Linked DNA regions of Mus musculus: region 1 is reported to be linked to region 2. The links are microRNA targets in miRTarBase. Many come from high-throughput screens and were not tested one by one. Region 2 holds a microRNA gene; the other region holds the end of a gene's coding sequence.

Region 1 (7,096 bases), not on the chromosome of region 2:
ATTGTGCATGCAGGACACCCTAGAATGTAGGCCAGAGTCCCCAAGGGGAGGGCTACGCTGGCTGTCCTCGCTACTCCCCCTCCTCTCCCAAGACGCCCCTTACCCTACTCAGCTGTTGCTCCGGTCCCTAGGCTCCGGTCGAACAAGGCCAGTTTTACTCCTACATGCAGCGGACTCAGAGGCACAGCGACGCCTGGTGGGAGCTTTGGCCGAACTGCTGCGGACGGCGCTGGGAGGTGGACGCGACGTGATCGTGGATCTCTGGGAAGGGACGCACGTAGCACGCATTGGACCACTGCCGTGGCTTTGGGCAGCGCGGGAGCGCGTGGCGCGGGAGCAGGGCACAGTGCTGCTCCTGTGGAACTGTGCGGGTCCCAGCACCGCCTGCAGCGGTGACCCGCAGGCTGCGTCCCTTCGCACCTTGTTGTGCGCTGCTCCACGTCCGCTGCTGCTCGCCTACTTCAGTCGCCTCTGCGCCAAAGGTGACATCCCCCGGCCGCTGCGCGCTCTGCCACGCTACCGCCTGCTTCGTGACCTGCCGCGCCTGCTGAGAGCACTGGATGCTCAGCCTGCCACCCTAGCCTCCAGCTGGAGTCACCTTGGGGCTAAGCGGTGCTTGAAAAACCGTCTGGAGCAGTGTCACCTGCTGGAACTTGAGGCTGCCAAAGATGACTACCAAGGCTCAACCAATAGTCCCTGTGGTTTCAGCTGTCTGTAGCCTCAGCCTGTGTAGCAACAGCAGGAACTCCAGAATGAGGCCTCACACATGTACTCTTTGGGGGTGCTTCTTGTCCCCCAAACCGTAAGACTCACCTTAAGTCCCACACTTGACCAACCTCCCTCACATTTGCTCCCTCTTAGAGTTCCTGAGAGGAACTTGGGCTTTCCTGATAGGTCCTCAGCCCTTTCTGAGAAGGAGGGACGATTTTTCCATTTCTTTTCAAAACTGAAAAAAAAAAAAAAAAAAAAAAAGACAACCATCTGCATCGAGCACTCCAGTTCAGGCTGGAGGGCTAGGCCAGGATTGGAAAGCAGGGCCTAAGTGTCAAGCGCTTGAAGGGGGTGGGGGCGGGGGGAGGTGCTCTGCTCGGCAGAGTTGAGAGAAACCCCGTCAGCCAGGAGTCCCTCACCTTCCCCAGAGGGAGGCCTCGTCCAGAGGTAGTTTGATTTGTTTGTTTGTTTGTTTGAGACTGAAGCCCACTGTGTAGCCCTTGATGGCCTGGAACAAAGAGGTTTATCTACCTGCCTCTGTCTCCGGAGTGCTAGGATTAGAAGCCTACATCACCCAATTGGTAAGAGAGATGAATAAAAGCAAACGTAGTAGACACATTAAGGAACAGTGTGCTGCTCTTGTGTGCCTGGGCCAGTCAGGAAGCCTGCCCTAAGCTTGTTCTAGAACAGCTCACCAGCCCAAGTCCTTTCATTCCCACAAGCATTGCCTGTGAAAGGCAAGGGGGACCCAGTGCCTCCTGGATCCTCTCCTCACTATGATTCTTCCAAGAGCAAAGGAAAACCGGAAGCTAGGCAGCATGGCCATCGCTCTCCTCCAGTGCCAGCAACAGCTCGACAGAACTCAGCCCAGTAAGGGGTCTCCCGGGCCTCACTGCCCCTCCGTCTCCCCTGAACCTGGGCCAGGCAGTGGGGAGCTCACTTTCTGGTGCCCTTTGACAGCAGCCCGTTGTCTTCAGAGCTCCTGTTTCACGAGGGTCACTGTCACTGAGACCCAGGGAAGAACCTGAGCATAGTAAGAGGGGACCCAGTGGACCTTAGGATCCCAGGGTCATACAGGAAGTGGAAACACCCGGCATGCCACAAGCCTGGGGTCTTTCTGACCAGATCGATCAGAATCTTTGTTTTTTGGTGAGATCCGGGGTAGGAGTTCCTTTACACAGTAGTGAGTCCAGCTGTGCTGCCTTCCCAGGGCTCCTCCCAGCCAGGTACCAGCCAAGGAGGAGGAGGAGAAGCCACCACCCAGGTCCAAAGCTGCTGGCTCCTAAGCCTGGAGTTGGTGGGAGGGACGGGACAGGGCGGGGCGGGAACAGCCACTGCCTGCTGGGAGCCAAATCGAAAGCACTCCAGCTGAAACTGGGCCTGGAGTCCAGGCTCACTGGAGTGGGGAAGCATGGCTGGAGAGGAATTCTAGCCCTTGCTCTCTCCCAGGGACACGGGGCTGATTGTCAGCAGGGGCGAGGGGTCTGCCCCCCCTTGGGGGGGCAGGACGGGGCCTCAGGCCTGGGTGCTGTCCGGCACCTGGAAGATGCCTGTGTCCTGGTTCCTGCTGTCCTTGGCACTGGGCCGAAACCCTGTGGTCGTCTCTCTGGAGAGACTGATGGAGCCTCAGGACACTGCACGCTGCTCTCTAGTGAGTCTGGGACTATGGGAGGCTGGGAAAGGCTCAGAGTTAGAGTTCAGTCTCTGCCTCATCACAGCCCGAGTCTGGCTCCTGTCACTGCCTCTATCAGAACTGCCCTGTCTGGTCTGTCTGGTGCTGATGGGGGAAGAGAAGATGGAAAGGGGACAAGAATTGGTCTTTTCTTCAGGGAAGGGCTTAGGACAAGGAGCGCTGGAAGGAGATAGGCAGTGGCTAGGGGGCTGTCAAGCAAGGAAAGGCGCTTGAATTGAATTGACTTTTTCTTCCTTCCCAGGGCCTCTCCTGCCACCTCTGGGGTAAGTATTGCTACTTGAAAAGAATGACTTCCAGGCGAGCTGAAGGGAAGCAACTGCTGGCGCTCAGCCTGGAAGCTCCCCTGCCCTCTGCAGGTATCACAAACCAAACCAGCTTCCACCCCACCCCTTCACACCCAGATGGTGACGTGCTCTGCCTGCCTGGAAGCCTCCAGTCTGCCCCAGGCCCTGTGCTAGTGCCTACCCGCCTGCAGACGGAGCTGGTGCTGAGGTGTCCACAGAAGACAGATTGCGCCCTCTGTGTCCGTGTGGTGGTCCACTTGGCCGTGCATGGTAAGTGAGGAAGCCCGCCCGTAACTGAGTGCACACATAAGCCTGTCTGGGGAAGGCATGAGGATTGCAGACTCTGGGGACATCTGCAATGTCTAAGATACTGGTCCAGGTACCTCCAGGCCAGCCTGCTCTCCCCCAGGCCTCTGCTTATGCGCCATGGCATCTATGCAAGGGAATCTAAGCCCGAACCAGCCCAGAGCAGATGCCCGACTTGGGCTTTGCTCTCTTCTCTGCTTCTTGCAGGGCACTGGGCAGAGCCTGAAGAAGCTGGAAAGTCTGATTCAGAACTCCAGGAGTCTAGGAACGGTGAGGAGCCAGCTGGCCCAACTACTGCTTCTAGTCAGGGTCTTTCCCGTGGCCCATGGCCTGGCTGACCCCTGCTTGTTGCTCTCAGCCTCTCTCCAGGCCCAGGTGGTGCTCTCCTTCCAGGCCTACCCCATCGCCCGCTGTGCCCTGCTGGAGGTCCAGGTGCCCGCTGACCTGGTGCAGCCTGGTCAGTCCGTGGTATGTGAAGGGCTCCTCCTGAGGAGAAGAGCCACCTCCAGAATCCCAGATTCCCTTAACAATCTCGTGCACTGTTTCCTTAAGTCTTGGGTCTGATCTGAGCAGTGAGGCCTCTTGGCTTTTTTTGTGGTGGTTTTTCTGTCTATAAAATGAGGGTAAGGACACTCCTGGCTCACGTGTGACTGGGTGAGAAGTCACTAAGCAGTCCTCTGGGACAATCTTATTTCATCTTCTCACAGGCGGCACATGAGGCTTCCGGGTGCTTCCATCTCTGCCAACACTTGGCATTTAAAATTTAAAATTTTAGCCATTCTGCCATATATGTCATGGTTTATACCTGGAAATTTGTGTGTGCATGTGTGTGGCAGCAGTATTTATACTTCTAAATTACATTTATTTATTTATTTATTTAGTGTGTGTGTGTGTGTGTGTGTACTGGGGGTTCATATAGAGGGCAGAGGACAAGGTACAGAGTCAGTTTTGCCCTTTTTATCATGAGGGTCCTTGTGATTGAACTCAGGCTGCCAGGCTTGGTGACAACCACTCCAATGAGGCCACACCTACTCCAACAGGGCCACACCTAGTAGTGCCACTCCATGGGCCGAGCATATAGAAACCACCACACGTGCTTACTTGCAATTTATAACTTCCTTCATGAAATGTCCTTTGAAACTTTTGATGGCTATAAAATAAGAACAAAGACCTGGGAATGTAGCACAGTGGTAGAGTTCTTGGCTAACATGCTTCATTCAGGCCTTGGGTTTGACACCCAGCAAACACACACACACACACACACACACACACACACACACACACACACACACACACACACACACACACACACACACACATGGGCATGTGTGCACGCACACATGCACACAATTTTTTTTTAGCCTGCCTAGTTTATGTCACAGAGCAGCCATGAGCACCTCTGATGTGTGCCTGCGGGGGCTGCTCCACGCTTGCGTTGGCGTATCTAATCAGCTTCCCTCTGACCAAGTGGTCTATGACAGCAGGTGTAGGCAGCAACTCAGATAGCCTGGTTAATCCCAGGCCTGCCAATACAGCTGTAGGAGATACGTGCTTTAGAACTGGGAAGCTGTTCAAAAGAAAGAAACTATAGTGATAGATTTCAAGCTAGATAGTATAGATGCAGTCATTGGCTGGAAATGGGGCCAGTAGGTAGGCAGAGTGGTCTACTCACATGAGCCCAAGACCTTGGCCTGCATTCTGAGCCCTTCACCTCCAGCCATCCACCACCCTCTCCTCATAGGGTTCTGCGGTATTTGACTGTTTCGAGGCTAGTCTTGGGGCTGAGGTACAGATCTGGTCCTACACGAAGCCCAGGTACCAGAAAGAGCTCAACCTCACACAGCAGCTGCCTGGTGAGTCACCCCAAAGTCCTGGTTCCCCAGTCTGCAGTCCCTTTGGTCACTCCCCATCTTTCTGGTCCCATCATTTTCAGGCAAGGTTCTGAGCTGACACCCTCCTCAGTCAATTTCGTGTGCTTCTAGCCCCTGGGATAGGTGCTCTGTGCCCTGTGTAAGCGTGGGTGGTCTTCAGGGGACAGGCAGCCCCTCTCAGGATCTCCCCATGGTTTGCACTGCTTCCCTTTTTGCCTTGGTCCCCATCCCCACTGGACGTTTTTCTGTGATCTCTCCCCAGACTGCAGGGGTCTTGAAGTCCGGGACAGCATCCAGAGCTGCTGGGGTAGGGGCCAGGGACAGTGGGCTGGGTGGGGGAGGGCAGGATCTGGAGTTTACACAATTGGATGCTTGGGGTTGACATCAGCCTCAGAGATGCCAGGTTCCAAAAGTCACAGGACATGTTCTATCATTCATTCATTCATTCATTCATTCATTTGCTCATTCCACATGAACTGCAGAATTGCTTCATCTATGTATGTCAGGCACTAGAAATATTACAAATGCTCATTGATCCCAGGAACATCTAGTGGCCCAAAGCACTGTTAAGATTCTGGTGCCTCTCCTGACTGACCAGAGTGGGTAAACTATTAAACCTGAAACAGCGACCAAAAAATGAGGAGATTTTGATGTTACTTTTGTTTTGTATTTTCTTTTAAAGAGAATTTCTCATGCATATGTAGCATATATTTTAAAAAGATATAAGTACAATGATTTTTTTTTTTGAGACAGGGTTTCACTGTGCAGCTCTGGCACTATAAAGACCAGGTTGGTCTCATACTCACACAGACCCACCTCCCTCTCCGCCTTCCAAGGGCTGGGATTGAATGTGCACCATCGTGTCGGGCAAAGTGCTCTGGTTTTAATGTCTAGTTCAGTGAAGTGATTGTGTAGTTAGGTTGTTTTTGCCTTGTTTTGCTGTTTTGGTTTTGACAGGCTCTTGCTATGTTGTCCATGCTGGGCTTGAACTTGCAATCTTCCTGCCTCAGCCTCCCAAGCAGCCAGGGTTGCAGGTGGGCTTCGCCACATCTGGCTCCGTTGGGTTAGTGCTTAATGACTTCTACAGCTAGCACAAGGTGAAGGTGTGCGACAGGTTTTAAACTATTAAATAGTCCCCTTTCTTCTCTTCAACTCCATTTTCTTTTTTTGGCATTCCTCTTTGGCACTCCATACAAATCACTAGACACCAGAGCTTTGAAAACACACACCAGGCATCTCCTCTTGTCACTCAGTGGTGAGTGCCTTCCTTATTCAACAACGATTGACTGAGTAATTACTCCGTACCAGACATAGTTATAGACTAGAAGTAAATTGATAAGCAAACCTGATAAAACTTCCCGTCTTTATGGAAATGGGAATTGGGATTAGAAAAGGGTTGAGGGAAGATCCAGTAAACTCCTGGGATATATACAGTATATTCCTGTAGAATATACAGTATATTAGATGGTGACAAGTTATGGAGAATATTCAAGAGAGGGGGATGGGAAGGATGGGAGTTCCAGTAGTGAGACAGCCTCACTGTAATGAAGGATATGAAGAAAAAACCCTGTATTTGAGAGACAGAGTCACATAGGAAGAGAACAGCCTGTGCAAAGGCTGTAGGGCAGGAGCAAGGCAAAGTGTGCTTAAGGAATGTGAAGGCATCTCATGTGTTTGCAGCAAAGTATTCAAGATAGAGGTACTAACATATTAGGTTTGAGAGGTCTCAGAAGCTAGCCTGGTTAAGGTTCGTGGAAGCTGTTGTAAAGACTAGCTTATATTGGGATTACTATGTGGGGGCATAAGCAGAGTCTAGGGACAGTGATTGCATTAAGGAGGTAGCAGGATTCTACTGGCTGCAGAAGAGGAGCTGTCCCCAAGAAGCAAGCTGGAGCCTCTATGGGCTTGGCTCTGGGCTTGTGTCTGGGGACAAAGCCCAGTCTGAGATGGAGATACAGTCTGTCCTCCAAGGGCCTCCTAGTCCAAACCCTTCCAGGGGTTTGATGGAATCTCTAACGGGGCAGTTGGTGAGTATGGCCCAGGCTTAGCTGTGCAGAGGGGGTGAAGAGAGTCTGAACTTCCCCATCTCTCTCTGCTTTTCCCACTAGTCCTGCCCTGGCTCAATGTGTCTACAGATGGTGACAATGTCCTTCTGACACTGGATGTCTCTGAGGAGCAGGACTTTAGCTTCTTACTGTACCTGCGTCCAGTCCCGGATGCTCTCAAATCCT
Region 2 (7,116 bases):
AGATAGAGAGGGGGTGGGGGGTGGTCGGGAAGAGTTAGGAAGAGAAAAACATGATCAAAACATATATAAGCTCGTGTGACTTCCAGTGGTTAAGGAGGTTTCACAGTAGATAAACTACAGATCAGGATTCGAACTCAGTGGAGAGCATTCCAGAGATCCGCAGGCCCAGCACACTGGAAAGCAGGGCTGAAGCCATTAGGTCTAAAGATGGGAGAATCCATACACAGCACAGGCAGGGGAGCTGGCTTTTGCAGGTAAATAGAAATGGCCAGACAGACATGAGAACACAGCAAAGAACAGCACGAACCCAGGTCCCTGGAGGAAGTCTCCTAGCACATTCTGGGGTGAGCCGTAGAAGAGTATACATACTGTTATCCCCAGTTCTGTATCTCTACCGACTAATGTTGGGGACATTTGTTCAAGGTCATGGCACTTGTAAGTCCTGATTTAAAATCTGGGAAAAGTCAACAACTCAGGTTCAATCCTGGCGCCTAGGCTCCAACTTCAAGGACCTGATGCCCTTTGCACATCAGACTTCAAGTTCGGCTTTAAAGTTGTAGGGGGCTGAGCCTTCAAAATATGAGAAGATGCAAAGAAATCTTAAATCACGTTACTACCCATTCACACCTACATACTGCACGATTGCAGTTACATGATACTCTGAAAAAGGCAAACCTGTGGACACAGTAAAAACACCAGTGGTTGGAGCAGCAGGAGCAAGGGAAAGGAAAGGCAGACTGCAGAGGGCTCTTAGTGGACAGCCCTACAGTGCTGTGACGGACTGTTACTACACACTTGTCCCAGTCCACGGCATGTGCTCACTAGGAGTGAGCCCTGTGGTGAAGGTAGGGAGAGCTCTGGGCAATAGGGATGTATGGGTTGTCAGCTGTGAGAGTGGACTTCTGGTCAGGAACACAGACAACTGGGGAGGCTGTGTATGTTGAGGGGAAGAGAAGCCTTCTACAGAAAAAAAAATGTCTCTACCTTGCTCTTGTGTGACCAAGACCAAGGGCAAAAGAGAGAAGACACTGTCTGTCGTGGCAAAGCCTGTTAGCCGTTAGGGGAATCTGGCTGTAGATGGGACAAGGACTTAGGACAGGAGGATGATTGAGAATGGAAAGGTCAGCCCAGTGCAAAGGATTTCACATCCCAGTGGTGTCCAGAAGATGACTCTGAGCTGTTCCTCTGCCTTGGTGAGTCAGAGGGAAACTGGCTGTGAGCATCTGTATCACCTTCATATAGCTCAAATGAAATGATGCTTCTCTTCTAACAAAAGCAATGATTGCAGTCCAGGACTGAGGGCACTGTAATTCTGGCTACCCTGGACGCTGAGGCAGGAGGATCACAGATTGAAGGCCAGCTTGAGCCACTTAGTGAGACCCCATTTCAAAATAAAAAGTCAAAAGAGGGCTAGGGATGGGGCTCTGTGATAGAATGCTTGTCTAGCCTTTTCAAGGCCTTATGTGCAACCCCCCAGGATAGCAAACCAATCACCCAAAAGACTGCATGTACAGGACCAGATCAAAATTTAAACCTCCCCCATTAAAGGGCTTCAGTGAGAAAACTCCACATTGTAGAAGGTCAATGCTCATTTTACATCCATTATTTTTATTCCTGATGGGGTGTGTTAGCCCCATTTCGCAGGTTGAGAAACTGAGGCCTGGAGCAACAGAAGTACTTTAGTACCAAGGCAGTGTGAGTAGACTGGCAAGGAAGTGAGTTCTTAGAGACCATGAAACCTTTAGGACTGTAAAACAATACCTAGGTCATACGGATCTTTGTGAGGAAGAACTGTAATGGTGCCAACTGATGGCTCGGCAAAGACCATGTGACCAGGAGGGCACTCTATAAATGCTGCTGCTTAGGAAGGGAAGACAGCTGTTAGCACTGCAATGCTCTTGTCATGACCTCACTTCCAAGCCTGAGGCCCCATCTGCGGGGCGGCTTCTGGCTCAAGCCAGTGCTCCATCTAAATGAGAGGGAAGGAAAAGGGTGACTCATAGCCTAGTGTAGTGTAGTTCCTGGCTGACCGGCACCAGTTGGAGAGAGGAGGCCCCAAGGCCAGGGGGAAACACGAGCCCCAGGTGCCCAACTGCTAGGCTGGATTTCTTAGCCATGCTTACCCACCAGCATCAGCCAGAGGGTCCAAAGAAAGTGGGGCTCGGGCCTCTGGGGAGCATGCCCCCAGATGTACTCAGATGAAGAAGTTACCCTGCTCCCAGTCCATGCAGGCCAAAGGTGGGCAAATGCATCTGCCTCCACACAGCTGCAACTCTGACTTGGACAGCAGCTGGCCCTGGCTTCAGTGGCAGTGGAGGTTGAATTATACCAGACCCATCAAGGAGCACTGGGACTTCAAGTCGTTTCTCCAGTCCTCCCTGTGCCCAGGACCCCTCAGTGTGCTCAGGTCCCTCTTAACAAAGATCCATCTGCCAAGTAGAACCCAAAGATCCATCTGCCAAGTAGGACCATGGTACTGTACGGAACCAGCAGGGAGTGATTGTCCATGGGAAGGGATTGAGCATGGGGTGCAGAGGGTGTTGGCATGGTTACAACTCAGACCCATAGGAAAATGGCAAAGCACCCTGCACCGCTCCACCCCCATCAGTGGGGGGCTCTGAAGCATGGCAAAGCCTTCCTGGGGGTCCAAGTGTGAATGTTGACAATGAGGCCAGAAAACGTCCACCCTTAGTCGTCTTCCCTTAGATACTACAGTCTGAAGACTGTTCCCCAAGGAAGATGGCTCCTACCAAAGGTAGCTAAACCTGGCCCCTTGATACAGAAACAGACCATAAATCCCACCTCCTTAATTCGGCTGTATGCAATAAATGCCACCTCACTATACCACAGTATATAATACACTCTGAGCATCTGAGAGTTTCTCCATCAGAGAGCCCCATCCAGCGGATCCCAGTCATTTCTGTGTCTCCATGTGTCCCTCTTCATTCCCTCACTGCCCTAGTCAGGTTAAGTCCCTGGAGCCATGCAAGGGGGCAGCCACTGAACATCAAAGAAACGCACATGAACGGCAAGAGTAACAAAGTATATTGTTGACCAAATTCGTAGAATACAAATGGCATGAATAACTGGGGTATGGCCAGCCAGGCGTTTCCACACAATGCTGATGAGTGTGTAAATGAATGCAATCTCTCTAGAAGACGATTTCCTTATGTGTTTACCAAATGCCTGCGTGGTTCCTTTGACAGAGCAATTTCCCTTCTAGGAATATAAATGAAGGAAAGAACACATGTACACAAATATATTTGTTTCGGCGTTGCTCACAGTAGGATAAACGCAAGCAACCAAGCGACAGCAGAGGATTGATTGACACATGTTGGCTCAACGTCCCATGAAATACTATACAGCCATTAAGATATTAGGCACAATATTTATTGATGAGGAAAGATGTTCACAGCATATTGTGAGGAGGAGAAAAAAAAAAAGCAAGTTACAAAACAGTGTGCTTGCAAGATACAAATTAGTATAACAGAATAACTTCATTTATCATTTTCTTCTCCCCCCACCCCCCAAAATAACTGGTCTATATGAATAGGAAAGAAAAAAAACATCTAGAGATACATAGACTTTAAAGCAGCTATCTTTGGATAATATTACATATTTCTGGACTGGTGAGAGGCCTCAGCAGGCAAAGGCTGACCACCTGAGTTCAATCTCCATGTCCCATTTTGTGGAAGAGAACAAAGTTCTGCACCTCATGGCGTCGTCCTCTGACCTCCACACACATGCCAGAGCACACACATGCAAACACACATACAAAATTAGCTAATTTAGACAAATGTAAAATATAAAACATGACTCCCTTTTCATGACACTTAGCAGTGTTTTCTAACACTGTTAAAATTATTTTTAAATAAGGGTTGGACTTGCTGATTTATAATGTCCTTGTCGTCTCTGACACTGTCACAGTTCTTCCAGGCTCTCAAGTGACTTCAAATAATTCCTTTATTTGCTGGGCTTCCTGCATGGCCTTTGGAGTCAAGGCTTTTGCTAGCAGCTGTAGCCCTCGACAATGCCCCCTCTCCCATGTTCACTACCCAGCTGTCTTCTCTGTCAGCCCATGAGCTTGTCTGGCAAGGCTCAGCTGTACCCCTATTTGTAGTCCATGTACCTCATCAAGAGCCAGGCAAAGGGGCATTGCTCAGCATGGTGACAGGTGCCATGTGGGCACACAAAGATAAAAGACTCAACTTGGATCCTACTGGATAGACTCAAACACATAAAGTGCTTGGCTTTATAACGAACTATGAAAGGCAGAAGAGAGAGCAGGGCAAGCTGGCAGGAAGGCCTACTAAGGGAGAAAGCCATGCGGGATGGTAGGCAAAGGCCCACTAAGCAAGGGGTACAGCTGGAACAAAAGCGAAGTCAGCACAGAGTCTTTGGAACCCAATCTTCAAACATTTCCAAAACGCTTCCACAAGCCTGGTTCTGATAAATGGCTACTTTGGCCCCAACGAATAAACGTTAAGTCTCTCAAACAGATCTCTATAATCTAAGCCTGGGTTAGCCACCAAAGACAAGAAGAACTCTTTGGGGGAACAGAGACAATCCACTTTCCCCAACCCTCCCGAGGGGGAGAGCTGGGGGGAGGGGAGGGTCTGGGAAGGGCTGTGGGGAAGAAGCTGGACAGCCAGACAGCTCACATGCAAACACAGGCTCACCCCCACCAGCAGGCCTCTGGCTTCTCCGTCAGCACCACACCGGCCCCATTGGACAGATGGAGAAACACGGCTGGAGAGTTAAAATGGCTTGCTCCAGGATCACCCAGCCAGAGAGCGGGGAAGGTGACTCCACTCAGGCCTTCTGACTCCAAGTCCAGTGCTATTTCGAGGTAACACACAGGACCTGGAGTCAGGAGCCCTGGGTGGCTCTGTCACCCCCTGGCTGAGTGGTCGTGGACAAGCAGTTCACCCCTCGCAGCCTCTTCCCCAACTGTAAAATGAGGCGGCGGGCTGCCCCGCCCATTCCCGCTCAGCTCTGAGCCTTCTAGGGGCGGCTGCAAAGCTCCTGGTATCAATTACATTTCCCAAGTTGGCCCGGCAAAGATCACCCGGAGATCTTCGGCCTATCACGTGATTAAGTTAAAAGGGGGTGGGGTGGGGGGGAACAAACGTCCCAAATTAACTTTCACTGCACTGCTTCTGCTGACAACTGATTACCCAATTTTCCAGATTCCTTTGGTGAAGCTAGGAAATTACCCTACTGAGTGGGATAGGCTGGTGGCTAAAAGGGCAAACAGTTAATTAATTATCGGTGAGCCAAACACCAAAAGCTAGAGTTAAAGTCGAGGGTCCTGTCCAGAGCAGACAATCTTGGTATGTGTGAAGGAGTCTCACTGGCTATTTTGGGCTACTCGGTTCTTAAGTGTAGAGATATGGACACGACTCCAGGCAATCGAGATCTGGGGTGCAGGTCTTCTCCCGGACCCCCATGCCCCTACCACCTCCAGCCCTGGTTCCACGCTGTCCACCCCCGGGGTGCTAAGGCCCGCCTTGGGCAGACATAAACACCGGGCGTGTGACCGTGCCCGGCGACGCTGCCCGGCGCTCCACTGCAGTTTCGTCAGAGGTAAAGGTACGCGCCCGGCGCGCGCGGCGTGTGCACAGGCTCAGGGGACACACACACACACACACACACACACACACACACCCGCGCACAGCCCGCTCATTAACACCGCCTCCCGACCTGAAGAAGCGCGATCACCCGCCACCATCCCCTTGGGCCTCTGCTATGAACCCACCCGAGAGCGCGCCAGCCACACACCACGCGGCCCCCGCGGCTCCGGGACGCCACGGCGTTTGCAGAGAGCTATGGCCCGCCGTCTCCCGCGCGTGGCGGGCTTCCTCTCGGCGACACCCCCGCAACGACGCCTGTCCTAGTCGCCAGCTTCAATTCGCCACCGGGAGGTTTCCCGGAGCAGAACGTCTCTCGGCCGCTGCGTCCCCCCTCCAAGTCGCGTCTCACCGCAAGGAGTCAGCTTGCAAGCCTCTCCCCGCCCACCCGGTCCCATGACAGCTGCTACCGCCCAAAGACTGGTAGATTCTAACCAGAAGCAAAGTTTCCCTCTCTCCTCCCACCTCCCGCCCCCCCCCTCCGCCTTCCCCTCCCTCCCAGTGTTATGCAAAACGGGCCGGCACAAACGCTTCCACACCAGGTACTCAGCTTGTCCCCGCGAGTCCCACGGGTTTCCGCCTTGCAGCCCCTCTCCGGACCCAGGCGTGTCCCCGCATCCGGGGTCTCCTCCCAGGCTCCGTCGCACCCCCAGCCTCTGGGGAGACACACAGACAGGAGCTGGGAGCAAAAGCCCTAACTCGGGAGCCAAACTTTAGGCTTGCAACAGGCACGGGCTAGAGGGGGAAACGGAGGAAGAGGTGAGGGCCCCCACGCTGCGTGCACACATGTTCCCGCAACTGCTTGTCCTAGCAGCAAACCCCATTTTATTCTCCAAGCCCACAGCTTCCTCGTCCTCGCTCCCGAACACCAGAGCACACACTCCTGTCATGCGCTTGTAGCCGGTGTGGCTCCCAGCCTTAGCCAGAGCCCGGGACGCCGCCTCACCTTCCCTTCCCCCTGCATCGTGGAGCGCGCGCCGGGAACGCGCGCCGCAGGGGGACCCAGGCACCCCCTAGATAGTCCTTCCGCCCGGATCCTGCCTTCCTCGCTCCTAACGGGTCTCCTCCGGTTAGTGAGAGCTGGAAGACGCAATCTCCGCCCGCATGTCCACGTGCCCTGCCGACCCCTATTCCCCTAGCCAGCAACTGACAGGAAACTCTGCGCTGCCGGAGCAGGTGGGGGGCTATGGGGTACCCGATGCTGGAGAACCAGGGGACTCCAGGGCTACCGATCGCCTCCCTTAGCCCCGCCACAAGTGCACGTGAAAGTACGGCAGCAAGTGCCAGGCGCCGAGGACGCGCCTACAACACCCAGAGCCAGCCTTTAGGGATCCCCCGACCCTGGCTGGATTCTACCTGCGGGAGGAATTGTAGTACCCCTCAACTTTGCCAGTGGGGGACAGTAGACTCTAGGTGGCCCTGGCTGTGTCCCCCAATGCTACAGCATGCGCCGGCGACCTGCAGCTCGCTACGCCTGTAACGGAGC

Evidence for each region. The annotated mature microRNA mmu-miR-378a-3p reads ACUGGACUUGGAGUCAGAAGG and lies in region 2 at 4,818-4,838, opposite strand. An mRNA with a match to its seed (bases 2 to 7 or 8) in the 3' UTR can be bound and repressed. Matches are read on the target gene's strand: a 7mer-m8 pairs with bases 2 to 8, a 7mer-A1 pairs with bases 2 to 7 and ends in A, and an 8mer does both.
Region 1: the mRNA of Il17re is a reported target of mmu-miR-378a-3p. Seed matches in the 3' UTR shown: 7mer-A1 at 1,151-1,157.

Annotation. Positions count from the first base shown.
Region 1 is chr6:113,469,426-113,476,521 of GRCm38, forward strand. It overlaps Il17re (interleukin 17 receptor E), which reads left to right. Exons shown (of 15, transcript NM_145826.6): 15 at 132-1,333. The coding sequence ends at 718. Il17rc (interleukin 17 receptor C) reads left to right here and starts at 2,030. Exons shown (of 18, transcript NM_178942.1): 1 at 2,030-2,362; 2 at 2,646-2,667; 3 at 2,806-2,958; 4 at 3,202-3,264; 5 at 3,353-3,462; 6 at 4,736-4,847; 7 at 5,128-5,172; 8 at 6,974-7,096. The coding sequence starts at 2,258. Gm52872 (a long non-coding RNA gene) reads right to left here and starts at 179. Exons shown (of 2, transcript XR_003956348.1): 1 at 104-179.
Region 2 is chr18:61,393,021-61,400,136 of GRCm38, forward strand. It overlaps Mir378a (microRNA 378a), which reads right to left and starts at 4,880; the gene lies at 4,815-4,880. The region is part of intron 1 of Ppargc1b (peroxisome proliferative activated receptor, gamma, coactivator 1 beta); the gene reads right to left. It overlaps Gm52354 (a long non-coding RNA gene), which reads left to right and starts at 6,139. Exons shown (of 2, transcript XR_003952648.1): 1 at 6,139-6,172; 2 at 6,468-7,116.